Drosophila melanogaster: one gene and its partners. The gene in region 3 interacts genetically with the main gene of each other region. Each region holds a gene or a part of one and is shown on either strand. Other genes may lie near its edges.

What was found.
Region 1: of LIMK1 (region 3) and tsr, changing one suppresses a phenotype caused by changing the other (phenotypic suppression), as found in Drosophila melanogaster (2 studies listed by BioGRID).
Region 2: of LIMK1 (region 3) and Sb, changing one enhances a phenotype caused by changing the other (phenotypic enhancement), as found in Drosophila melanogaster (one study listed by BioGRID).
Region 4: of LIMK1 (region 3) and Pax, changing one suppresses a phenotype caused by changing the other (phenotypic suppression), as found in Drosophila melanogaster (one study listed by BioGRID).

What each region holds. Positions count from the first base shown.
Region 1 is NT_033778.4:24,043,399-24,049,196, forward strand, and holds tsr (twinstar), read right to left. Parts: upstream 3,408-5,798; 5' UTR 3,271-3,407; coding exon 3,268-3,270; intron 1,785-3,267; coding exon 1,594-1,784; intron 1,522-1,593; coding exon 1,416-1,521; intron 1,353-1,415; coding exon 1,206-1,352; 3' UTR 1,055-1,205; downstream 1-1,054. Other genes in the region: IntS1 (integrator 1), read left to right, coding at 1-940; gammaSnap1 (gamma soluble NSF attachment protein 1), read right to left, coding at 3,885-3,923, 4,107-4,461, 4,528-4,598, 4,668-4,862, 4,937-5,052, 5,241-5,308, 5,371-5,435. UniProt on the Drosophila melanogaster protein: Exhibits F-actin depolymerizing activity and regulates actin cytoskeleton dynamics. Required for cytokinesis in both mitotic and meiotic cells and for aster migration and separation. Promotes cell motility during ovary development and oogenesis.
Region 2 is NT_033777.3:16,113,175-16,119,513, reverse strand, and holds the start of Sb (stubble), read right to left. Parts: upstream 3,354-6,339; 5' UTR 2,955-3,353; intron 1-2,954. UniProt on the Drosophila melanogaster protein: Hormone dependent protease required for epithelial morphogenesis, including the formation of bristles, legs, and wings.
Region 3 is NC_004354.4:12,588,862-12,595,102, reverse strand, and holds the start of LIMK1 (LIM domain kinase 1), read left to right. Parts: upstream 1-2,909; 5' UTR 2,910-3,172; intron 3,173-4,618; 5' UTR 4,619-4,654; coding exon 4,655-5,262; intron 5,263-5,419; exon of another isoform or gene 5,420-5,520; coding exon of another isoform or gene 5,521-5,579; intron 5,580-5,754; exon of another isoform or gene 5,755-5,781; coding exon 5,782-5,847; intron 5,848-5,935; coding exon 5,936-6,241. Other genes in the region: CG1824 (uncharacterized protein), read left to right, coding at 1-135, 211-1,227, 1,491-2,096, 2,155-2,403. UniProt on the Drosophila melanogaster protein: Protein kinase which regulates actin filament dynamics. Phosphorylates and inactivates the actin binding/depolymerizing factor tsr/cofilin, thereby stabilizing the actin cytoskeleton.
Region 4 is NT_033779.5:19,420,114-19,426,462, forward strand, and holds the start of Pax (paxillin), read right to left. Parts: upstream 3,440-6,349; 5' UTR 3,302-3,439; exon of another isoform or gene 3,166-3,301; intron 79-3,165; 5' UTR 1-78.

The DNA of each region.
Region 1 (5,798 bases), on a different chromosome or scaffold from region 3:
ACCAACCATCTTTGAGGAGGCGTACAAGAACGAGATCCAAAACACGCTGTCGTGCTACTTCAACTTCTTCAAGCACCACAGCAACGTAAAAGAGGCCTGCCAAATGCTGAACAAGTTTGTGCAGATGCTCCAAGCCTACATCAACTACAATCCCTCAAGTGCTCTGCTCTTCATCGAACAGTACGTGGGCATCCTGAAGGAACTTGCAGCCAAGTACACCTCACTAGGCAAACTGCAGGTTTTGGTCCAGGCCGTTGCCCTGCTGCAGCACAAGTCGCACTCGGCGACGGAATTGGACGACGAGGAAGTTAAGTACGAGTACGATCTGGATGAGCATTTCGATGTAAAGCCATCGGCCAGCAAGCCCGTGGTAACAGAGGATCCCATCGAAGTGAATCCGCAAACACCCATCGATCCAAGCAGCAGTAGGGGTCCCTTATCGGTTCTAACCTTGGGCTCGTACAGCCGGTCGAACTACACGGACATATCGCCGCACTTCCTCGATCTGGTCAAGATCATAAAGCAGTCCAACACGGAGGACGTGGTCTTGGGTCCCATGCAGGAGCTGGAGTGCCTCACTTCCAAGAGATTTGTGTTCATCAACGAGCTGTTCGAACGACTGCTCAACCTTATATTCTCGCCGAGTGCCCAGATCCGGTCCATCGCCTTCATCATACTGATCAGGCATCTGAAGCACAATCCCGGCAATTCGGACATCAACCTGTGCACCCTTAACGCCTACATTCAGTGCCTGCGGGACGAGAACTCCTCGGTGGCAGCGACGGCCATTGACAATCTGCCGGAGATGTCGGTGCTGCTGCAGGAACACGCAATCGACATCCTAACGGTGGCCTTCTCGCTGGGCTTGAAGTCGTGCCTGAACACTGGCCACCAGATTAGAAAGGTTCTCCAGACTCTAGTGATCCAGCATGGCTATTAAGCGTTCGGTCTATAAGTTAGAACCGTCATCATATGTACAATGTAATCTTTGCTCCTTATAATAAAGTGTATTCTGCGGTACGAGATTTTTACCACAGCGGAAACGCGACTTGGTCAAGTTAAATATTTCATTCTTTATTTCTACTGAAAATACAAATTATGTAGAAAATTCTCATACAAATTGGCGATCTCAACAGGATACGTGTTTCCATCGCTGTTTCATGCATGCCTTGTTTGTTAAATGCAATGCACAGTGCTCGTACAGTTTATTGGCGGTCGGTGGCCCGGAGTTTCTCCTCGACGGCTTCCCGGGAGGCTTCGGAAAGATCAGTGGCTTGTATATACTTTTGGACGCCCACGAGCGACTTCTTGAGAGCATCGAAGGAGCTGGAGTACAACATCTTCTTCTTGACCTGTGGGTGTGTGATATCGAAATGAGTTCTGCGCCATTACTTGGCAACTGGCTATTCACATACCTTGGCAGTATCGGGACACCACGACATAAGGAACAGCTTTTGCTTCTTTGAACTCTCAGAGGTGCCTTGACACTGGTGCATGTACTCGAAATCGAACAGTCCGTACCTGTGCAAGCGAATAGATGTTAAATTAGGTTAGTTTCGATGGGTCTGGGTGTCTCTAACCGGCGGAACTTACCGGCACTCTCCAGGTCCGCATTTCTGGATATCTTCTAGAAACTGGTCGTACTCGGCGTTGCGATCTGCCACAGTCTCCACATCAATCTGCTTTTCATCGCGAATGTAAAAGATGACATAGCGATGCTTTTTGTCCTTCTTTATTTCCTCGTATGTAGTCTTGCAGACATCAGACACAGTTACACCAGAAGCCTTTAGAGAGAGAGAAGGTAGAGATGCAAATCAGAGAATGTATTTTGAATGTTCAATGCGCGCCAAACTGTCAACCAAGTGTGTGTGCATGTATGTGATACAGGGTGCTCTCTTTGCGTTTCCCCAAGTATTCCCTTAAAACAAATGTTCATGAAGTACCAAGTAGTTGAATTGTAAAAAAAAATAAGTGAAGTTCAATGTTTTATGCCCACATAAGACACGAGGCACCCTGTACCTCACTGATGTACATATGTGCGTATGTAACTGACTGGCAGACATAACTGCCCACCTTCAGCTGACAGTATATCCGTCCCTTTTCGACTTTGCAATTTTATTTCTTTGATTGCCGGCAATAACAAACATAAAGGTAAATAATTTATGCTACTTTATTTGCATTGCCACCGCAGAACTTTTACCGGTTAAGGCGTGCGCACACTTGGCACGCCGATTTATCTGGGAGTGGTGGGCGTGGCACCATTTACAGTTAGATTTTCCTTTCTTTTTTTCCCGGCGCTCGGAAAGTTCAAGGGTAAGTTCACAAGTGCCGGCAAGTTTAAGGGTGAGAACAAGCCGACAAGAGGGAGAAAGAAAACTAAAAGGGAGGTGGCTGTTTCCCCACGATTTCGTTGCGCTCACAAAACGGTGGAAAATGCCCGATTTTCCATAATATTCGGAAAATGTCGAGAAAATCAAAATCGTCCCACATGCAAACAGTCGTCTGCTGCACACACACAGCTAAACATCATGTGTATGTATGTATGAACATCCGCAAGGCGGCAAGGAAACGATCACACCTTAAATATGTATGCCTGCAGATACATATATGGATATATATTGATACATATTTCTGTATGGTAATATGGACGTACATATGTACACACATTTTGCGTCTGCGAGAAAATAAGCATTAAGCATTGCCCCGCAGATACATACATACGCACATATTTATAGCCATCGAAATATAAAAAAAGCGGTATACCCACACACGCTCAAGTGTGTAAAAATATATATATGTATAGACATGAAAATCCAATGTGTGTGCATTTCTCTTTCCAACATTTCAATTTTTAATCGCTCCATTTTTCCAGCTGCCACTTTGGAGCATTCTTTCGCGATTGCCTTTCGCGAATTTGCCAGTTATGAGTGTGAGTGGCGGCTGAGAAGTATGAAACACTCCAATAAATGAGTAATATCCGCTGCTACCAATGACTAATTTGGTATATATGTATACGCACACATTCATGACCATGTATATGCCCGAATATGGCCAACGAACATATAGGCAAAAAAAAGTGGAAATATATGTATGATTGATATATACACACTTATCTAAATATGTATGTATATACAGATTTCAAAGGAGAGATGCTTATATGATTCATCGAATCGAAGACATTATTTGCACTCCACCTCGCTTCCAAAAGTGCACAATGACCGGCCGCTTTTACCACCGAGTCTGAATGCGAGTCCCAAGTGTACGTACCATTTTTCCTGTAGTTTTTCGCTTTCACAATTCTCAAATTGCTGCTTCGCCGAGTATATATTTTACAAATACTGTTTAACCTTCCGCCTTCTTTCACGAACAACCGGACGAATCAATTTGGTCGGTTATTTCGCACAGGTTAGGGTTGCCAGGCGCCGGCAAAGTATCAACATGCGTCGTGACGCGTCGCGACGTTTGTGAAGCGTTTGGAACGGTGAAATGGCACACTTTCGATCTTTCAAAATGTCAAATATTTTAGGGTGCTTTAAAATACATAGTATAGTTTGAGTTAATTTATTTATTTATATTAACAAATTGCACTATACTTTCGTGTAATAAAGCTGAAGATTTACAGATTTGAATCTTAACACATTCGCTGTTTTGGAACATAGAATATATATACATAGTTTACACTTATAGCTACAATTTATTACTTCAATATCAATTCATCCCAAAGCTAATGATATTCTTTGTTGTATAGTATTGATCTTAGTATTTATTAATTAGTACAACGATTGCGATGAAATTTGTATTTAACAGTTAATATAATATGTTAAAAGCGATATTATTAACGATAAATATATTTTGACTAACAAGCAGACCGAACATTAAGAAATTTAGCACAAGCCACCTTCGTCCTCGGCGTCGTTGGTTTCCTGCGAGAGAGAAAGAGAGAAAATACGAAATTCTTGTTAGCTATTTAGTTTACTGCTTCGCACTGTCCCAAGTCTTCTATCGACAACAAAGGCAGATTCAATCGCCTATCGATAACATCATAATAAGAGCCAAATTTACAAAACAAAAATTGCAAATTCCATTTTTAGAATAAAAATACTCACAGCAGCAGTGTCGCCAGCCTTCTTCTCCATCTGTATACCCTGAGGTAGTGGAATGTTTTTAGATAGAATAGCGTACTCAACATCCATATGTCGTATGAATGGGGATGCCAGCATCCTAGCAGCTAACTCGGGATCCTCGTCATCGAAGGCTTGCAGAAGGGTCTGCAGTGTGGACACTTCCTCTGGCTCGCAGCAGTTTCCCCACTCCCTGAAGGTCTTTTCGGCTTCCACGGAATCCCCGCGAGCCAGTTGGACCATCACCAAGGCCACAACTAGGCGTCCAATTTGTCCGTAAGATTCCGTTTGCTGATTCAAGCTGATCTCCTTTTTGAGCGCATTCGTGGCTTCGTCGTACCTGGAGTGATTGGATGATATAAGCTAAGGATACCCAAAGTGATTCGTTGCAATCATAGGTACATACCTCCTTAGTTTGACCAGTATCCTGGAAACTTTTGATGCATACTCGGCTGCTTGACGGACGGAATCCTCGATCTGTCGGGTAAGTATAAAATTAATAGTTTAAGAATGGAATTGACTAGAGCAGTGTCAAATAGGACGAACCATTATGACTTCTAGAGCATGCTGATAGAAGCGCAAAGCCATGTCAGGATGCTTGGATTCAGTTAACTTGGCGGCTTTATCCAAGGCGGATGCGGCTGCCTCTGGGGAACCGTGCTGTTGATACAAACTCGCCGATTTGTTGGCGTATTCCTCAACTTCGTGTAGCTTATCGGCATCCTTTGACAGCAAAATGATCTAGAAGATGTGCACATTTAGAGGGTTTAAATTTCCTATTAACTTCACTTATATTAACTTCAATTTAAGCTCACCTGTTCGTATGCCTTTGCAGCATGGAACCAAGACTTGTTGTTTTTATAGGCGTCGATTGCCTTCAGAAAACACTCCTTGCTCTTATCATAACTTTTAGCTATTCGATATGCAGTGGCTGCAATTAAAAATGTAAAAGAAAGATACATAATTGTACACCAATATGTGTGTATCTTGCAAGTTATGGATACTTTGGGATAATCGTTAGCTGTAATTCATAGTATTTACATATCTCATTGATGTCACAATGTTTTTATAGATAGATACTCTGGGTGATATTAGTCACTCCTACTTTGTGAAACTCACCAGCTTTGGAATACTCATCCGCAGCACTATCGTAATCAGGAACCCATTTCAGCATGGACAACTTCAAGCTGCAAATAAAGATGGGTGTTATTTGGAAACCCCTTTATAAGGATATTTTTGTTGGGGATACCTCTTCTCGGCCTGCTTCACCAGGTCCTCCGCTTCGGCAATCTTTTTGGCAGCGATTCCCGACATTTTCAACCACTTTTGTTTAGCAGGAAAAATCAATTGTTTACGTTTGAAAATAGTGTGACCGAATGCGAGAAGGAAAATAACAATGGTTCGAAAATCACGGTGGTTTCGAATCTTTGAAAACCGAAAGCAGTACGCATGTCTGAAAATTTCAGAAAAGCAAAGCCTGATTACACCGGGAAAAAAAAGTTGGTCTTATAAAGCAGTTGACTTCGAAATGAAAATGCCATGTATTTACATACATCTATTCATTTTTTTATTTTATCTATGATATTTAAAAAGTAGAGTATGTGTAACGAACAAGATCGAATTGAAGTGTTTTTAATTGATTGAAAATGATTTTCCACTCCTGATTTCTCCGCGTGC
Region 2 (6,339 bases), on a different chromosome or scaffold from region 3:
GTACCTGGTGCTCTCCATTCCTTCTGATGATCAACGGCTGATAGTCGGTACCCAAACATATCTATATTTTATTGCACGCAATTTCCTTTCAGCTCAATTCGTTTGCCAAATCATTTCCCCAGTTCTAGGCAAAGATTTTGAGTGCTCCTCCAGCCGCTCCTGAAGATAATCAGCGTTCGTAGAGGAGCCTGAGCTACCAAAACGAGCTACCTGATTGCCCCTGGAGTGAGAGTGCGGAATGGAATGATAGCTAAGTGCCAAGTGGATCTCGCTCTGTGTGGGTATTAGCTTGGGTAATCGGAGATGGGGCGCAGCCCTCTTAGGAGGAGGGGAACTATGGCAAAATGGAACAGCAGAAAGGTTGATAGAAGCTGCCGATCGGAGATAATGAGGGCCTGAAGGATACAACGCCATATAACGCAGATAGGTATAAGATCTGATTAGATGCAAGGGTTTCAAAGAAGCCTCCTATGTAAGGTGCCTAATGGTAAATGTATTTGTAATAAGAAAAAGGTGTTACTAATGTCGAATGTAAAAGTAGTAAAAACTGCTGACAAGGCAACTTATACCGCATCGCATTGAAAACATTCCGACATTTTCATCTTGGTTTCCTACCGCAAAGTGGAAGAAGGCAGTGGTTTGCAAATCAAATCGTATATAAAATCATCCATCAATGGACAGCTAACACTATCGGTTTGAACTTCCTGTGTGCCAGTGGCTTTATCTAGCTGCATCCACCACCCTAGCCACCTTTATTACGGCTAACCACTGGCCACTTGGATATGGGCCGCCAATTGATTCCATTGCTAATGACTGCTAACGGTTCCACAGACACTTGCCGCAGCTTCGATTGCGGCTGAGGAAAGGAAGCCAGCGGTTACCGCTGCAACGCCCAAGTCGCCGGGAGCCTCTGCCATCCACAGATCTCGACGCACTTCACCTGCGGCACAGTGAGAACGATCGGGAAGGATCACTGATTGCTCAAATTATTATTGATCGGTTGTAAGAAATATTTGATGATCATATAAAAGAATAAGAATTACTTTGAACTACTAGCTAATTAAAAAAAAAATTAATTAAACTAGTTGGATTCCCAATTACTCAACAAAATACACAAAATAGGAAGTAGGATTAGCCAACGCTGCGTATGAGTAATAAAAATAGTTCTGATTCTTCAGTGAGATTCCCCTGGGACAAACATTTACATTCCCTATCTAACTTCACCTGTTCTATCAAATCCCTTTTAAGATCCTCCTTCTCGAGGCCCCACTGTCGCTGGGCAGCAGCACGTTTGCGTGTGGCTTCCGCGGCCGCCCGTCCAAGATTGATTGGGCACTCGTTTATTGTCAGTGGAGCTGGGCTTATCGCATCAGTGCAATTTGTTTGCGCCGCTGCTGCTGGCGGTGGTGCAGATTCCCCTCAACGAGAGGTGCTGGCGCAACAAGTGGGTTTGTGGCCGGACACCTGCGACCGCCCCTTTTGCCTCACAGAGAGCAAAGGGGTAAGGATGAAGGACGGTGTAGGGTGTCCTCCACTGCCAATGGACTCGCACGCAACGAGGCTTAATGACCCCGCAAGCCTTAATTAAGGCCCAAACTAAAACACTTTGATTGATTTACGCTTGCCAACTAACTGCCCGAGGACAGGGACAGTGATATGGGGATGGCCACAATTAAGAGAGCGGTGGGGATGGAAAACGAATCCGGCTTCTTGCATAATTACCCCGTAAGACTCAATTAACTGTAAATTAAAGAAAATGCTCGCTTACATTATGGCTGCACTTAATGTCGCGTGTGATAATGGTGCAGATCTTCTCTGGCACTCAGTGCGACTTTGCGAATCTACTCAAATTGGGTAGCCGAAGCGGAAGATACTTCAACCAACATGTGAACCCTTGTTGATATTTTTGACACTTGTATATATATTTGATATATACCTTTATTTACTCACATAATATCATTGATGAAAAGAAAATTTTTGGTTTTCTGATTTTGTGAAAACACTTCAAAATGTTTGAAGATGGCCCAACGTGTTGGAGATGGTTTTTGCATTTTAAAATTGCACTGCCAGCCGATTGGTAATTATACCCGTAGAAAGGGTACATTTTAAGATCATCGCAGAGTAAGAGCATTTTTTGTTGCTTTTGATGCTTTTGTTTTTTTGCTGCCACAGCGGCAATGCCACTGCCCACCCCCCGCGCTCTCACACATGGAATTAGAGCGGGTAAAAATGTACGAGGAGATAAAAGAGAGGCGAATTAAGTAACAAGGCACTTAACGTTAACACTTAACAAGGCAATGTCGTGGCTGTCTTGGCTGAGGCCTGAAACCTGCGCCATGCACCGTGCACGGGGAAGTTGGCCATAAAAGTTGGAGCTGGAACTTTGGCCGGGACGGGAAGCCGGAGGAACGAAATGCCATTAAGTGTCATTGCTCATTCCGGCGAAAGATTGATATCGGGCTTTAAATATGCGTACCGCGAAAGTATGGGATGGGATCGGATAGGATAGGATAGAATGGTACATCAACACTGTCACGGGGTCGCCAGAAATGTGAGTGACGATGGTGGTGACTGCAGATACCCGAAGTGCATGGCCAAACTTCCCATAAAAGCAGCAGGCGAAAGACATTCCGAACGGAAGCAACTGCCCTGTAATTACGTATTTTTCGAGGAATGAATTATATGCCTACAATTCACATACAGCATTCTCAGGGATAATCACTCTTTTATTTCAGCAAACATAAACCTTAAGTATGAACTCTTTTATAAGTGAAACTAAGCACCTATCATGACGAAATTGGTTCCTCTTTTTTGTATGCCAAAATGTTATAATAGAACTTTTGTAGCCTCAAAAGAATAGATTTGCATATATGTATGAAACACCTAACCGAAAACTATGATTGATTGCAGCTTTGCAAACTGAAGAACCGCAGAGCTGGCATCCAAATACATACCAAAAATCTGATCGCCAGGTGGGGCCGCCAAAGTTGGCCCAGAGTGAACTCCAAGCTGAGGCTGAGAGTGGCAGCCAAAGGCAGTTTGCGGTTAAAGCGGCTTATCACATTAGCACACTTCCAGACATCCAGACATCCAGACATCCAGACTTGCGGACTTACAGGCCTTTGAGCGAAGACAGAAAGACCCGAACGTGGCTAAAAGAGCCGCTGGAGAACCGTTAGCGATCGCGACATTCGCATCCTGCTTGGGATCCTTCGCACACACGCACACGTAGAACTGAACTGACTCAGATATATCTTCGTACTGGGTGGAGATGCTGCCGAGATATACGAGTACGAGTTCGAGTACCGGCCGGCTGCACTTAACTCTTCGCCTGGACGAGATCTTAACAAAACTAACTCGATCGCCATTGATCGGACGCATTTCAACTTAAAGTCAAGTGGAGAAGGCGCTGACGTCGAAGTCGACGGCGGCGTCCGCGTCGGCAGCGAACTGCATTCCCAAACCGAGTCGCGTTTTACTCACCAAATAAATAAGACAGAAACAGAAACAGAATGATACAAACACAAAAAACAATAAAAAAAAAAAAACTAAGCCAAACCGAACTGTGTGCAGAATTTATGGCTTGGGCTGTGGCCGTCCGGAGAAATGCTCTACAAGGCGGGCAGTCAATAGATCTTGGGTCTTCCCAATGAATCAATAGCTTTCCCGGAGCCACAAAATGAATATCGCTTGCGTAAGACAAAAGAAACTGGAGAAACCCGTCTGAATTCAAGATCAATCTAAAAGGTCCCAAAGAAAGTGGCGCTTGAGTGGGGGGACCAGACCACCCTATTCAAGAAGTGATGGAAAACTTAAGATCGCATACGGAAGATCTCGGGTAACAGTTGCTATTGTCTGCATTTGGAGGAAGAATTTAGAGATCTCATAGAAATCTTAGAATGCTTCTTTAATTATTTTAGAGATAATAATGCAAAAGTATTTAAAATTTTCAGCAATTTATTATGTCCTTTTTTTCTACTTTATAAAGTAGTAACTTATACAGGAAGCTCAATTGGCCCCGCAAATGATTCAAACAGCAGATTAAGGCCTCCTTCGCAATAATTCACAAAGGAAAACCTGAATGAATTCCATCCACGTCATAACTCCAATACTTTGTGTTGATCCTCCGTTGACATTATTTATGGAAGCTCTTAGAAAACCGAGGAGCCCAAAATACCTCCATGTAGCGCACAACAAAGTGTGGAAGAAAAGCAACGTTCTGCGGTGCTGCTCATTTTGTGTGGTTGCATGGCTGTGTTGCAGATGGAGCAGGTGGAGCAGTGGCAGGGGCAGGGGCATGGGCAAGAGCAACGGGGCAGCAGCACAATCGAGTTTCCACCAATGTGAATTAAATAGTTGGCCGAAAGAGAGGCGACAGAGAGCTCAAATTCCGCTAAAAACGCAGCAAATCCCAGACGATGGCCACAAAGTAATGGAAATATTGAGAATTCCTTAGCCGCCACTTCGACGGGGTCTCCATCTCGGTTAGAGTCTGGGTCTGAGTCTTGGATGTGGCATAGCCGTAACTCAAACCGACCATTAGAAACGAACATTAGCAGAAGACGTCTAAGAGCTGCAAATGCTGCAAAGGAAAAAGAACTAACGAACCTTGACAATTAAGTTTGCGCCACTCTGCCAAACCCAATTGGAATTCAATGTGCATGCAATGGCAGAGGCAGAAGCAGAAGCAGAAGCAGCAGATGCAGCCAGCAGGGATACCGAGATGGAGGAGGATGCGACTCAGACGGAGCAGGAGGTGCATCTGACGTTGATGATGCTCCCCGGCCTCCTCATCGAACCGAAGCCGAAGTCGACAGTCGCACAAAAACCCATACTCCATACCCCCAAACTCCAAGCTAAAAACGCCAAACTCCCGACTGGAGTCGCTTCGCTGTCTGTCGCTTGCTAATTCCCCAACAAATGTTTGCTGTTGCTTTGCTGTTGGCGGCTTCTGCAACATGTGTTGCAACAAATCGGCAAGCGACTGCAGCTGGAAAGTCGCGTGATGATGCGCCAAGTGGAGAGGAAAAATCTCGTTAAAGGTCGTGTCACAAATTCTGCAGCACTCAGAGGCGAAAAGGGGACAACGCCAAGTGCCAAAAAGCAGAAACAACAACAACATCAGTAGCTAGTTGCAACAAAGGCTGCAGCAGCAGCAGCAACGGCAATAGCAGATGCAAACTCGTGCCGCTGCTAACACAATAAATTTTCTCTTTCAGCCCGGGCGAATCTGGCGTTGAACTGCGTACATGGGTGGCCAAGTGATGCTCCTCCTCAGGCTCCACTTGCTGCCTCTCTTGGACGACAGTAAATGGCTACAGAAACAATCTGAATAAATTTGTCGCTAACTCTGGAGTTAGTGGTCCACGGGAGCGGGTGGAAAATTTATGAACCCGTTGATAGGCTGATGGAGATCTTTCCGGGAAATATTTTGATGGGACGTTGTGTTGGCCGTGGTCGGATTAACCTATTGAGTAATTTATAGCAGTGGGTGTGGATTAAAGATTTCGCAATGTATTTGTAGTTAATTTATTTGAATTTCAGTTTCTTATCTCTAATTTGCAAATCGTTTATTTAATCTCTATGGTTTTCTTAATATATACATACCTCACCATATGCGGACTACCATACGCTGTTAAGTTCATTGAATTAACCTTTTTCCTGTCATTACGCCTTTAAAATAATAAGCAGGCCTTATCTATGGGCTAGCTAATAATACCAGGACGGAACCTAACACAGTCTTGGCTTTTAATAGCCCACCATTTAATGTAAGCCATTTCGTTTGATTTCAGCTTTGAATCAACCCCACCCATCAATATTATCCTTAATACAGTGCAAATTCCGCCTTAAGTACTTGCCATTAAGCATCATTGCAGTAACTTTGTCTTGGCCATAACTCGGCACCGAGTACCCCCATCGGGGTCTTTAATCTCCCGCGGTCCGGCTGCCGTCAACCGGGCCCCATCCTCCAGACTTTCCACGTCCGCAGCTTCATGCGTGACCCCGATTCTCACAAGACTGGAAATGTGTCGGATTGGGAGGTGGGGATCTGTTTGGATCGGGATTGGGTTAGGGATATGGATGGGCTGCGATAAGCGATCACGGAATGAGGGATAACTGGTCGGTTAATGAATGGGTTCGCAATAATTGATGCCACTTTAAATTGGCCAAATGTTGATGGCCCGGCTGTGGCTGCGAGAACAGCCGAGAACAGGAAGGGAAAGTTGGCCAAGGGACTGGAGGCTGTCCCATCGCAGCGAGTGTTGCAGGTGATACTGGGACATGGAGCTGGAGTGATATTTCAACCTTTCTCCCGCTACCCAAAAGCGAAAACATTTT
Region 3 (6,241 bases):
CATTGCGAAGGCAGCCGGCTGGCCATTCGAAAGGAGGAGGAGGAGGAGGACACTGCGTCGGAGCAGCACTTCGACTGGAAGCGTTTGTGGACCTACTTGGAGCCACATCTCTGGGAGCTGATCGGGGCCGTATGCGTGAGTTCTTGGATCACAAAAAGCCCACGAACAGGTGTAGCATTTGTCAAAATATTTAGCTAATTTCATTTGCAGGCCGCCCTGATAGTGGCTTATATCAACATACGCATCCCAAATCTTCTCGGTGACCTGGTAAACACACTGGCCAGATATGCCAACACGTACGTGATGGATCCGATTAACAACTCGTTCGTAAAGGACGTGAGCAAACCGGCCAGCAATCTGCTGAGCCTATACATGCTGCAATCTGGTTTCACCTTTATGTACATCTACCTGTTGAGCCGCGTCGGTGAGCAGATGGCAGCCAAGATGCGGCAGGATCTGTTCACGCAGATTGTCGTCCAGGACATCGCATTCTTCGATGAGAATCGAACGGGCGAGCTGGTCAATCGACTAACCGCCGATGTACAGGACTTCAAGACCTCGTTCAAGCAGTTCGTCTCCCAGGGACTGCGAAGTGCTGCCCAGCTGATTGGCGGCAGTATATCGCTCTTCATGATTTCACCGCACATGGCCGCCATTGCGCTGGCCAGCGTTCCGTGCGTGGTTATGTTCATGACGTATTTGGGCAAGAAACTGCGCTCTCTAAGCAAAAGCTCACAGGCGCAGGCGGAACGAGCGACGGGTGTCTGCGAGGAGGCGCTGTCCAACATCCGAACGGTTAGATCCAGTGCCTGTGAATACCGCGAGATGCAGCTGTTCGAGGCGGAGACCAATGAGGCGGCTCGCCTGGCGCAGAAACTCGGCTACGGCATCGCAATCTTCCAGGGCCTGACCAACTTCTTCCTCAATACACTAGTCCTATCTACGCTCTTTATGGGCGGCCACCTCATGTCTACGGAGAGTCTGTCGCCGGGTGCTCTGATGGCCTTCCTGGTCGCTTCGCAGGGTGTGCAGCGATCCCTTGCCCAGGGATCCATCCTGCTGGGCACCATGATCAGAGGCATGTCGGCCGGCAGTCGAGTCTTCGAGTTCCTATCGCTGCAGCCACAGGTGGAATTGCTGCGCGGCTACATCATCCCGCAGGAGCGGCTGCACGGCGAGATTCGATTCGAGAACGTCTCATTCGCATATCCCATGCAACCCGATCATGTGAGTTGTATTAAAGTATATCTTCATTTCATTCTCGAGACAATGATGGCATATTTACATTAATCGATGCTCTGTAATTTGTAAACTCGCCACTTTTTTATATAATATTGAATAACTTCTTATCGCTTCCGCAAGTAGATAACCATTTTATAATACCCACAAACATTTATGGCCAATATTTACGGCTAAGTGATAAAAAGATTAGAGTCTAGGCAATGCAAACAGTAATGAACTTCCTATGTCAATTTTTGCTTCATTCACAGCTGGTGCTCAAGGACTTTAGCCTGACGCTCCGCCCGGGCCAGACGGTGGCCCTGGTGGGAGCCAGTGGATCGGGCAAGTCGACGATAGCGTCGCTGGTGGAACGCTTCTACGAACCATCGGCGGGCAATATCAAACTGGACGGCTACAAGCTGTCGGACATATCGCCCTATTGGCTGCGGTCCAATGTCCTCGGTTTCATCGAACAGCAGCCGGTGCTGTTTGGCACATCGATATTGGAGAACATCCGATATGGTAAACCAGATGCGGGCGAGGAGGATGTGTATGCGGCAGCGCGTCTATCACAATCGCACGACTTTGTGACCGCCCTGCCCGATGGATATGCGACGCATGTGGGCGAACGGGGCACCCAGTTGAGCGGCGGTCAGCGGCAACGCATCGCCATTGCACGGGCGCTGCTCAAGAATCCGCGCATCCTCATCCTCGACGAGGCGACGAGTGCCTTGGACGCCACCAGCGAGGCGGAAGTGCAGAAGGCACTCGATACAGTGGTCCAGAATCGCACCACTCTGGTGATTGCCCATCGCTTGTCCACGATACGAAACGCTGACCTCATTGTCGTCCTTGATCAGGGACGCGTCGTGGAGGTGAGTTGTCCTAGACCATTGGTATCTTCAGAAATATTTATATTTTCCCTTGTTTTAGACCGGCAAACATGACGAACTGATGGGCAAGCGGGGCCTGTACTTTGAGCTGGTGCGTCAGCAGGAACGACGGGACATCCAGGAGCAAGTCCAGGCGGTGGAGGACGTTGTGGCCGTCAAGGAGCAGCAGGCAACTGCAACAGAAACTTCAACAGCCGCAACAATTGCAACTGCCGCAGAAACTTCCGCAGCAACAGTGACAGTGGGGAGCAGCAGCTTCGGTGGCAGGGCAAACGCAGCGCAAGGATAGTGACGATGTTAGGCAAATTGAATGATTCCCTATACACTTAATTTAATATTCTTATAATGTTTTCACTTTTTTTTTTGTTTTCAACTGACCAAAAACAAAAATGGTGAGAGACGCTAACAATAAGTATACAATAAAATAAACGCTGAAGACAGTATTGTTTTTGTTATAAACAGAAAGTATTTCATTGTCATTATCGCTAAATTCACCGGGTTCATTAAAAATAGATGGGATGCGTGAACTTAAATTAAAGTTTGAAAAACTGAATATAAAACACTTGAAATCCCAATTTCCGTTAAATAATATATTCAATGGGACCGCATTATTTCTACAACCATACTCATATACGGTCACTCGAAGATTAAAGAAAAACTATTTCAATATTCAATTCTGTTCAATATTTCTTGTTAGTGACAAGCAGCGTGTTTATAATAAAAAATTTGTTCATTAAAGAGTTTATATATTTTTTAAGTTGATTGGCAGCTAGACGATAGTTTTGAGATTCTTTAATGACAGTCCTACGGTCACACTGGCTGAATTGTATTTTATTTTGTGTAGTTTTGTTGTTGTTTTGTTTATTATGCATTTCTTTTTTATTGTTTGAGTTAGCGAGCTGTGCGTCGCGTCGGCATTTAAACAAAATCCGCGGCATTTCGGTAGTTGCGATTAATAATTGCTTGGCGGGAATTACAGTCGAATAAGAAATTGGCGAGGAAAAACCAACAAATGTGCAATGTGCGTCAAGTCAATAGCAATACAAACGAACAATTATGTAAGTGTGTGTGTGTGTTTGGTTTAGTTTAGTGTACAAGTCCAGCAAAAAACAATAAAATCTAAGTAAAAAACCAGTTGTTGTTGCTATTGGCTTTGCTAATGTCGTGTTGTTCCCGTTCCCCCACACACATTTTCTAACAGCGCGTGCATGTGTGTGTGTGTGTGTGTGTGTGCAGCACCTGTACGCGTGTGTGTGTGTGCTTCTGCCTCCGCACAGTGGACACATTCCTGAATTTTGGAGTCCAAAAATATGCAAATTGCCTGAGTGAATTAATTGACTTAATTAACAAAAATTGGACCGCAAGTTATGATAACCATAGTTGATTAAACGGAATTAGTTTCTAGCGGGACTAGTGCGACAAATACTCAAACTTACTTGATTTTTTACCATTCGTTCCATTCGTAAACCTAGCTTGTCTTGGCTATTTTATAGACTTCAGTCAGGGTGGCACACCCACTCATTTCCAATCTCTTCAAAGCAAAATCACAGCACTGTGATATGGTTGGTTAAAGTAAAAGTTCAATGGGTTAAGCAGGTGATTAAAGGCACATTAACCCCTAATGGAGCTTGGACTGCACTTAACGCACGGCTCACATGTGACCACTGTGCGCGCGTGCAAGTGTGTGCGTGTGCATTCGTCATTCATTGGTCATGTTTATGCGGTCGGAAGAGGGACGTGCACAACAACTACAGTTAGCTCAGCTGAAGTGCAATTGCGATTGCAGTTGATCCAAAGAGTCGCGTTTGTTGTTGCATCAACCGGAGTTTTCACGGTCAATGTTGAGCTATATCCATAAATACACAAACATTCATGTGTATTTGCATATACATATGTATGTCCATATGCATATATCCATGGATTATGCATGCAAATCGATGATGGAAATCAGGCGGTATAGCGAATTCCGATGGGGGGCAGCTGACTCAGGATCGAAGTCTTTATCACTGAACCCTAAACTAATGACTACCGGACTCAATTATTTTGTTTTGTTCGGTCATTTTGTTTAGTACGCAAAAATATTTACATGGCTATCGCTTTAGCAATAAAGTTCGAATTGCTGTCCCAGTATATCATAAAAAATCACGGAGAGTTTTGAATGCAATTGGTTTTGAAAAATGCCAAACCTTCCTATCATTAACACTTAAATCAGTTAGAAAAACTAATATAATACTATATTAGTTGATAATAAATGCATTTCATGTATGATATCATTGTAGATATCTTTTTTCTCAACGTTAATGATAATGGGTAAAGATAGCTTATTTATAGACCTACATTGCCTATATGATATTTGCTTAGTTTCCACTGGTTCATATCGACCTGTTGACGATAATTGGCCAAGTTCCGTGACTGCTGGTCTATATTTACTATATTTAATACCTATTCCGTCATCGACTAATACCTTTTTTTTAACCTCCCGCCCCCCTGCTCTTTACCCACAGTGCTAACGTGATCGGGCCAAGGCACAAAAACATTCCATGCATCATCAGCAGCGCCTGCGGGCAAATGGCGGACGAGGAGGCACTGGATTGGGCGCAGGATCAGGACCTGTGTCCGGAGGACACTCACCATTGTGCGCCCATTGTCGGGGTCAACTACTGCCACATCCAGAGGAGCCAATCGTGATGGCTCTCGGCCAGCAATGGCACTGCGATTGCTTTCGCTGCTCCGTTTGCGAGGGCCATCTGCATAACTGGTACTTCGAACGGGAGGGCTTACTGTACTGTCGTGAGGATTACTACGGCCGATTCGGCGATGCCTGTCAGCAGTGTATGGCCGTTATCACCGGACCCGTAATGGTCGCCGGCGAGCACAAATTCCATCCGGAGTGCTTCTGCTGCACGGCATGCGGCTCCTTCATCGGCGAGGGCGAATCGTACGCCCTTGTCGAGCGTTCGAAGCTCTATTGTGGCCAGTGCTATGGCAAACGTTCCTGCCAGCCGGCGGATGCGAAGGCGCGGATCACAACGGCCGGCAAGCCGATGCACTCCATCCGTCTGGTCGAGATACCCAAGGACGCCACGCCCGGCCTGAGGGTCGACGGAGTGGCCCTCGACGATGGTTGTCCCACGGTCCGCATTACAGAGTAAGAAATTAACTGAAATTACTATAATTTACATCAATGAACTCATTGAGATGCATGCATTTGCATTATTTATTAACTTTATTGTTACATTTGTTTCTTGTTGTTTTTTTTAAGATCTTTTTCAAAGATCAGATTGTACTCTTTTTTGAACTTCTAAGTTGCCTTTGCGTTTAATGTACATATGTTATACAAACCAAGCCGTCTTCTCACTTTTTACACACAAGTCACAACATTTTTTTTATATGAATTTAAAGAAGAATGTCTTTTTGGTTACATTTTGTACTGAAAAAAATTTTACCATGGCTCAAATCTACGAAGTACGTATTGTGAAATGATAACTATTATTTGATTGTATATAATTTATTGCTTCAATCTGACTCACTTTTGGTTGCCATTTGTTAAAGTTTGCACATTAGCTAACTAGGTCTAGTCCTAATTGCCAACTAATTTCGCTGGGCGTTCGTCCTTCGACTCTTTCTGCATTTCCCTAATACATGCTTGCCCAAAAAAAAAAAATAGCTTGTTCTGTAACTTCTTCTTGTGGCTAACCTCGATGGCGGAACAGTGCTGTGGGGCGCCTTATAGGTAACAAATGTGCCTGAGTTGAATTAAAAGCAACAACTAAGCTAGTAGTAACACTTTGCTAATTATTGATTTATTTCCTATTATCCAGAATTGATGTGAATCTTACAAATCTGCATATTGGAGATAGGATATTGGAGGTGAACGGCACACCAGTTAGTGATTCGTCCGTGGAACAGATCGACAAATTGATACGGAGTAATGAGAAGATGCTTCAGCTGACCGTGGAGCATGATCCGGTGCAAGTGTGCCGCTCCTGCAGCCAAGCGGACATCCAGCGGGCCATGTCAGCGTCCACGTTAATCCTGCCGCTCAGCACATCGGCCTCCAGTGTCGAGGTGGGCAGGGAGCGTCTGTACAAGACACCCGGCGAACAGGGCACGAAGGCCAGGAAACT
Region 4 (6,349 bases), on a different chromosome or scaffold from region 3:
TTTATAAGCGCATTTTTATTTTTGGCCTTTCGGGGCTCTCGACGACGGATTTGTCGTTTTTGTTTGCGTTGGGTTAGCCTGTCAGAGAGTGGATATTGTAGTTGTCGTCGTCGAAGTTGTCGTTGTCTTCGCCCGTCTATCAGAGCTTTGCCCCAGTCCACAAAAAAAAGAAGAAACAAAAAATTGAAAGAAACTAGTTCCCTGCCCCCGTGGAAGTCCAAGTGATTTAATGTTGGAAATTGTTGTCTGGAGAGTGCTTTGTGCATTCGAATTTCCTCTATTAATTGACTGAGACTGACAAAATACCGCATTAAAAGATTAAAGGGATGTGGTGAGGTGAGAGATCTATGATCTAAGCTGCATATATGATGAAGAGCTCTCAAAAAGACGAGAAATAAATCTACTGGTAATGTAAACATTGTCTGTCAGTTCATCAGTTCATCATGCTTCAAACCTAAGAAATAAATTACCTAAATCAATACTCGAAACAAAGATATTTAGTTAAGTCAATGAAAGTCCACTGTCAAACAAGTCAAATGATCTTCATCTGAAGTGATTACTCTACTTAAGATGCACCTTAATCTTCCGTATCTAAAGATCAAAAAGATAGAGAAGTCAAAAATGGTTCTTTATAGCGTAATCACTGAAGATGCAAATCAATCTAACCGTATCTAAAGATCCATAAAAACACCAACAAGAGCGATAAATCAGACCAAAAAGTCCGGACCAGTTACTCTGACTTCCTAATCCCAATGTGCGTGGGTGAATCTCAATAGATGATCTATGCAACTAACTCAATTTACGATGGCCTGTAGATTTAGTTGAGCCAACAAACGGTCTATAAAGACAGATTTATGGAAGCATAAAAATACCAAAATGAACATGCAGGCCACATTTTAGATTTTCGTTCCAAACAAATAACGACACATTGGAAAAAGGTAAAAAATAATAAACATAAATTCACCGACCGAACACAAAGCGAGCCGGGCCAAAAATACGAGTATCGAGAAGGGAACGGGGAATCAAGGTTGCCAAATTACGTCAACACCAATGATCGCCAACTAAAAATATCCAAAAGAAAAATAAAAAAACAAAAAAAAAAAACATTTCTAGCAAATCAAAGGCGACGTTTCGTCGTCTAACAAAGGGAGGCTAAACTGGGAAAATCGAGCGAAATTAATTGAAAATACGAGAGATTTCCGCAGATCGTTGCCAAAAGGAAGGGCAATAAGAAAATAAAAATCTCACTTTCCTTCCAGGTCTTGGCTATAGTCAAGTCCAAATCCATTTACCTCCACACCTGAGGCATTACTCAGTCCATTTGGGAATGACGTCGGGCCGAAATTGTTGTTCTCGATTCGGTCTTCCTTCTACGAAGTCAAATTCAAAAGTCAAAGGCACAATTTCGTGTTTATTTTGCAGGAAATTCCTAGCGATCTCAATATAAATATTTTATTAGTAAGTAGATAAAATGTGTGTGAATGCGAGTGTTGACCTTGCCGAAGGCGCTAAGGTGAAAACGCAATGCGTGGCCAAACGGAAAAGTGGGTATCAGCCCAGGGAAATTCATTTGTGTGGGTGATACCGATCTCTCTTCACCGCTCAGTGGCCTTTAGCCGGGCCTTTCAATAAACTTGGCCAATTTATGCCGCTGTAAACTGTGCGTGCTTTTCACATTCCACTTCTGTAATAGGTTCGGGAAAAAGCGACGAGCTATCGCCCACTGACTTTTGGGGCCTTTGGGGTCTTGATAAGATATATAGACCCTATATTGGCCAATGGCCTACGTACTGAGCAGATAAAAGGCTTTTCTGGAATTAAATATCAATGTCTTTTGATTGGCTCAATGGAAGCTTAATTGGTTATATTTGTCGATTGCAAACAATTCAATAGTATTGCACTTATTTATTTCAAAATATTTGTGAGCAATGAATCTAACCCAATGTTTTAATTGCACATCAACTCGCTGCTAACAATTAACGATTTCGAAATCTATCGAAGCCACTCATCTTTCGCTAGCAATCGAAACAACACACTCTAATTGAATTTGTATGGCTGGGCGATAAGAATCTTGTTTCCAGTTGAAAGAACAGAAACAAGGAACAACAACAACAAAACACAGAGCAACTCGCTGAGCAAACGAAAATCGAACTCAAACCTGGCGATGAACTCACTGCACTATGAATTACGATGATGGAGAATCCAGAGGTGCTAAGTAGTTGGGGCTTAAAACGAGCTTTTAAACCCAAATAATCCAGAGATCCAGAGTGATCTGTAGATACTTAGTTAGAGGTTTCAAAACGCACAGACAATCGGAGAGACAAAGACAGCAGCTGTCTGGTCGTAAACAAATGGCATCCACTGAACGTATCTGCGAGATACAAAATATTGGGGAGAAAACGAAAGCGATTCTCGTAAGTGCAGAACCCCCCAACAACAAAATATTCATTTGTGCGCACTATGTCAGCCGAGTTTACATCATTCTCCAGCATTTCCATCTGCTGTCGTAACTCGAGATACTTTTACGAGGGGAAGGGGAAGGAAGTCCCCCCCCCCCCCATCGCACTACCACCACCACTCGTGAGAATGCACTTGGCTTCGATTGCTTGAAATATGTGAAAAATGTCATAATTTTAATAGATTAAGTGGGCACAATTTAATTGCTTTTGCTGCCTGTTGTTATGTTTGTTTGGCTATTTCGGTCATTTCCCTCCAGAAAAACACAGAAATACCGAATTAATTTCCATCTCAACACACCCACGATCTTAATCCGTTCGGGGCCCCGAGGCGAAAATTAATGGGGCTAACCAAAATTCTATGCTCTGCCAGATCTGGGCAAATATGTCATATATTCGAATGTCTTGTCCGTTGATAATTAGTTCCATAATTAGTGGAAATGCTAATGAAATTGAAATGTTTTGCGAGCAACGCGCCGAAAAGATTTGCCAAGAGTTAGTGGAATCTTAAGGCGAGTGACACGGATCCATAAATCTTGGCCAGTTTATTATATTATATTATTTTTTTTAGCTAACTGCTTCTGGCATTCCTGCTTTATCGTTTATCTTAGTGCTAGATATCTTTTGATGTTTGTCAACTTTTTTTTTTACTGCAAACTGTTCTTGCACTCGAAGTAAACAATTTCCCACGCTCCAACCTGCCACTAACACGATTCCACTGATTTTCATCAACTTTTTCCCGCCGTAGTTTGCCGTTAAACACTTTTTCGTTGCCTTTTGTTTTGATTAGGCTTGGTTTCTTATATGTATATTCTATCGCGTTATCTGTGCACTTTTGCCTGCACCTTTGGCAGTGTGTTGTCACATATTCTATATATTAATCCCAGAGATCGTAGGACGCCGTTGGGAGACCGCAATCGAGAGACTCCGAAAAACACACGCGCTGCGCTCGCGATTCAGTAAAAGCGTCGCAATCGACTGAAATCCAAAGGGGGGCCCGATGCTGAGGCTCCAATAGACGAGCGCTCCGGCTCTCTCGCAGCTGCTCACGGAGAGCGGGGGAGCAAGAGAGCGAAGCGTTTGAGAGCTGGTAAACAAACTGCACTGCGAAAAAATCTTCTTAGATTTATAGATGTATGGATGTATGGATAGGCATAGTATATTCAAAACGATAGCTTAGCTTCGTAATAGGGGCTATATCTAAAGTAATATATATCTAAAGGAATGTTTAAAAAGTATGTATCAGCGGTTACAGCTTGTGAAACCAGTATTATGATTATTGTTGTTTCTGAGTAAACAACTAATAAACTAGTAAACAAGTAGTAAACTAATTTTGAAAAATCGAATTTAAAAAAAATGTATTTTAAATCAGAGTCCATATTGTCGTATTTTATTTTCAGTGCCAAGAGAGCCAGTTAAAAGAGAGAAAGAGCCCCACCACGTAGCTTTTCACTTGGAGTGGCTTTTCATTTTGGCTTGCGGCCTGCGGCTGAGCATTTCGACCGCAAGTGGGAGGCACAGCGAAAGGAAACCAGAGCGGACGAAAATATTGTCGCCCGATTGGAGCTTTCCTTTGGGTGTGTGAACAGTGGGCCAGCTGCCAAGAAAACCAACCCCTTCGTTGCTGACGAATAAACGAAAACGTGAGTCAAAGGCATCCAATATCAAAACATTTCTGAAACTATCTTCAATTGTACAGACAATCCGCAAGATTAAATGTTTCATAAAATGACAGTGAAAATTGGTATAAACAAAATTCCTCTGGGACAGTCATGTTGGAAATGCTTATCACTTAACAGCTGCTTAGGCTTTACAATTGTTTATCGACAAACATAGAAGATAACTAATTATATACTTTCATGACCATGAACACTGTGATATACATTGATACGATCACAGAAAAGGCAGAAATGGGATCTCAAAAACTCTTTAACCTTTCGTCCCACTGTGCGAACCTTTCCCCGTAACCATAAGCGATCATTGCTCTGCAGTTGGAGTGCTCCCCTCGGCGGAAAACGCCATCGACGCTCAATGCCCAGACAGACCTAACCGATCTCGACAGATCATCTCGTCTTTGCTGTTACAGTGCGCACACGCAACACGAACAGAAGACATTGCGTGTCGAGTGGGCGATGAAGTGGGCGCGCACTCACTAATGGCAGCAAAGCAAGATTGATGCAACTGAGTTGCTGGAGAAGATCAAGATGAAGTTGGAGATGAAGCTGAAGCCTCTACTTCCTGTGCGAAGTAAAGCTTCGAGGGCAGAATATTTATGCTGAGATTTTAAGATCTCGAACGAATTTCAGTATTATAGTTATTATTATATTATTGTAATCTAAAAAGTGATCTGAAATATTATTTGTTATTTAACATGATTTTGCAAAAGCTCTATATGAAAGTTTCTTAAGATCTAGAATCCTACAAGCCCAGCCGATAAGCAAATTTTAGCGGGCTCTTAGACCACTGTGCGTAGGTGTAGGGCAAGTCAGCTGGAATTCTTCATAAGTGTTAGTGGCCTGGCCTTTAGTCATTTCTTAAGAATTTCTGGACACACAACTCTCGGCTGCAGATTTCGTTTTGCTTCACTTTTATATTTTTATCAAAAGACATTCCGAAACAGCGAAGAATTGTGTCATAAAGAAAATAAAGTGAGACGACATGTAGACTTTTATTTCGCTGATGGAGACTAAAAGAGCACTGTGGGGCAGCGAAGAAAGCAAATACAGCCCGGCTGATTAAGCTGCCTCTCTCAGACCAGATCATTCACATGAGTACAAGGGTTTCGAACTTGGGGCTGCAAGAAACCACACCCTCCTTGCTTTCTAGAATTGTAAATGATTTCACACTGGAAGTGCTGAGCGCGATGCTTTTATGTTCGATTCAAGGAATTAGGATTATTCATAAAAGTGCAAGGAATGCGCGAATCGGACCACAGCTATCGCAATAGCCACTTCCCGAATTAAAAGCTCATTCATTTACTTGTGCACTTTGCACATATGTATGTATGTACATAAGTATGTATGTATGTACATATGTATGTATGGACCCATGTACATATGAACGGGTTCAAAGATAAGACGAGCACTTGAAATTCATCATCAAGAATTTTAAAGCACGTAACACAACCATTTTTAATCGTGATTAATGATTGTATGCTTACGATAAGAATTTCGAAAAACAGTAAATATTGAGTTTCAAGAAATATTCAATAATAAATATTTTTGTATATTGGGAAATATATTAAACAAATAACACATCTTGTTCGGTCAATGACTGAAGATCACTCAAAACTTTTTTACATAATAACAATTTCTTAAAACAGAAGTGAATAACAGATTAATAACTAAAAAGATACACAGAACACACGTTGCCATTCAACACGTGAGGTACGTTTTAGCCACTCTTCACTGTAAACGAAAATTATTCAAGCGTGAGATTTTCGACTTCCTGTGTCGCCACCTGGCGGCCAACGGCAGAATCCTCAGCTACATGTTAATTAACTCCAATTAGCGACTGACCTTGAAGTCGCAGAATTATCTTTGCGGCTTTTGCCTACGTCACACGGTTTATGCTGTGGAATGCTCCGCTTGAGGAAGTCGCTTTTCCCCGAGGAAAAGTGGACCACCACTTACTTACCCAAATCGTCCATGGCGATGGTGTTGTTGTTTTTCCGCCCTGTGTGCGTTAGTGTGCGTGTAGTTTTCCGCTCTTGTCCAATTGGAATGCTCAGTTTTCTGGATTTATTTGGCACAAGCACACGCGTTTTTTAATTGATGCTGATTGAAAGCGAAGAGCGACAAGTCCACGCAAACACTTTATTTTCCTGTTCACCCGCAACTGAAAAGCGCGGAGTTGGCCGGAGACTAATTTTAAGCTGTTGCCAGCGACCGAAT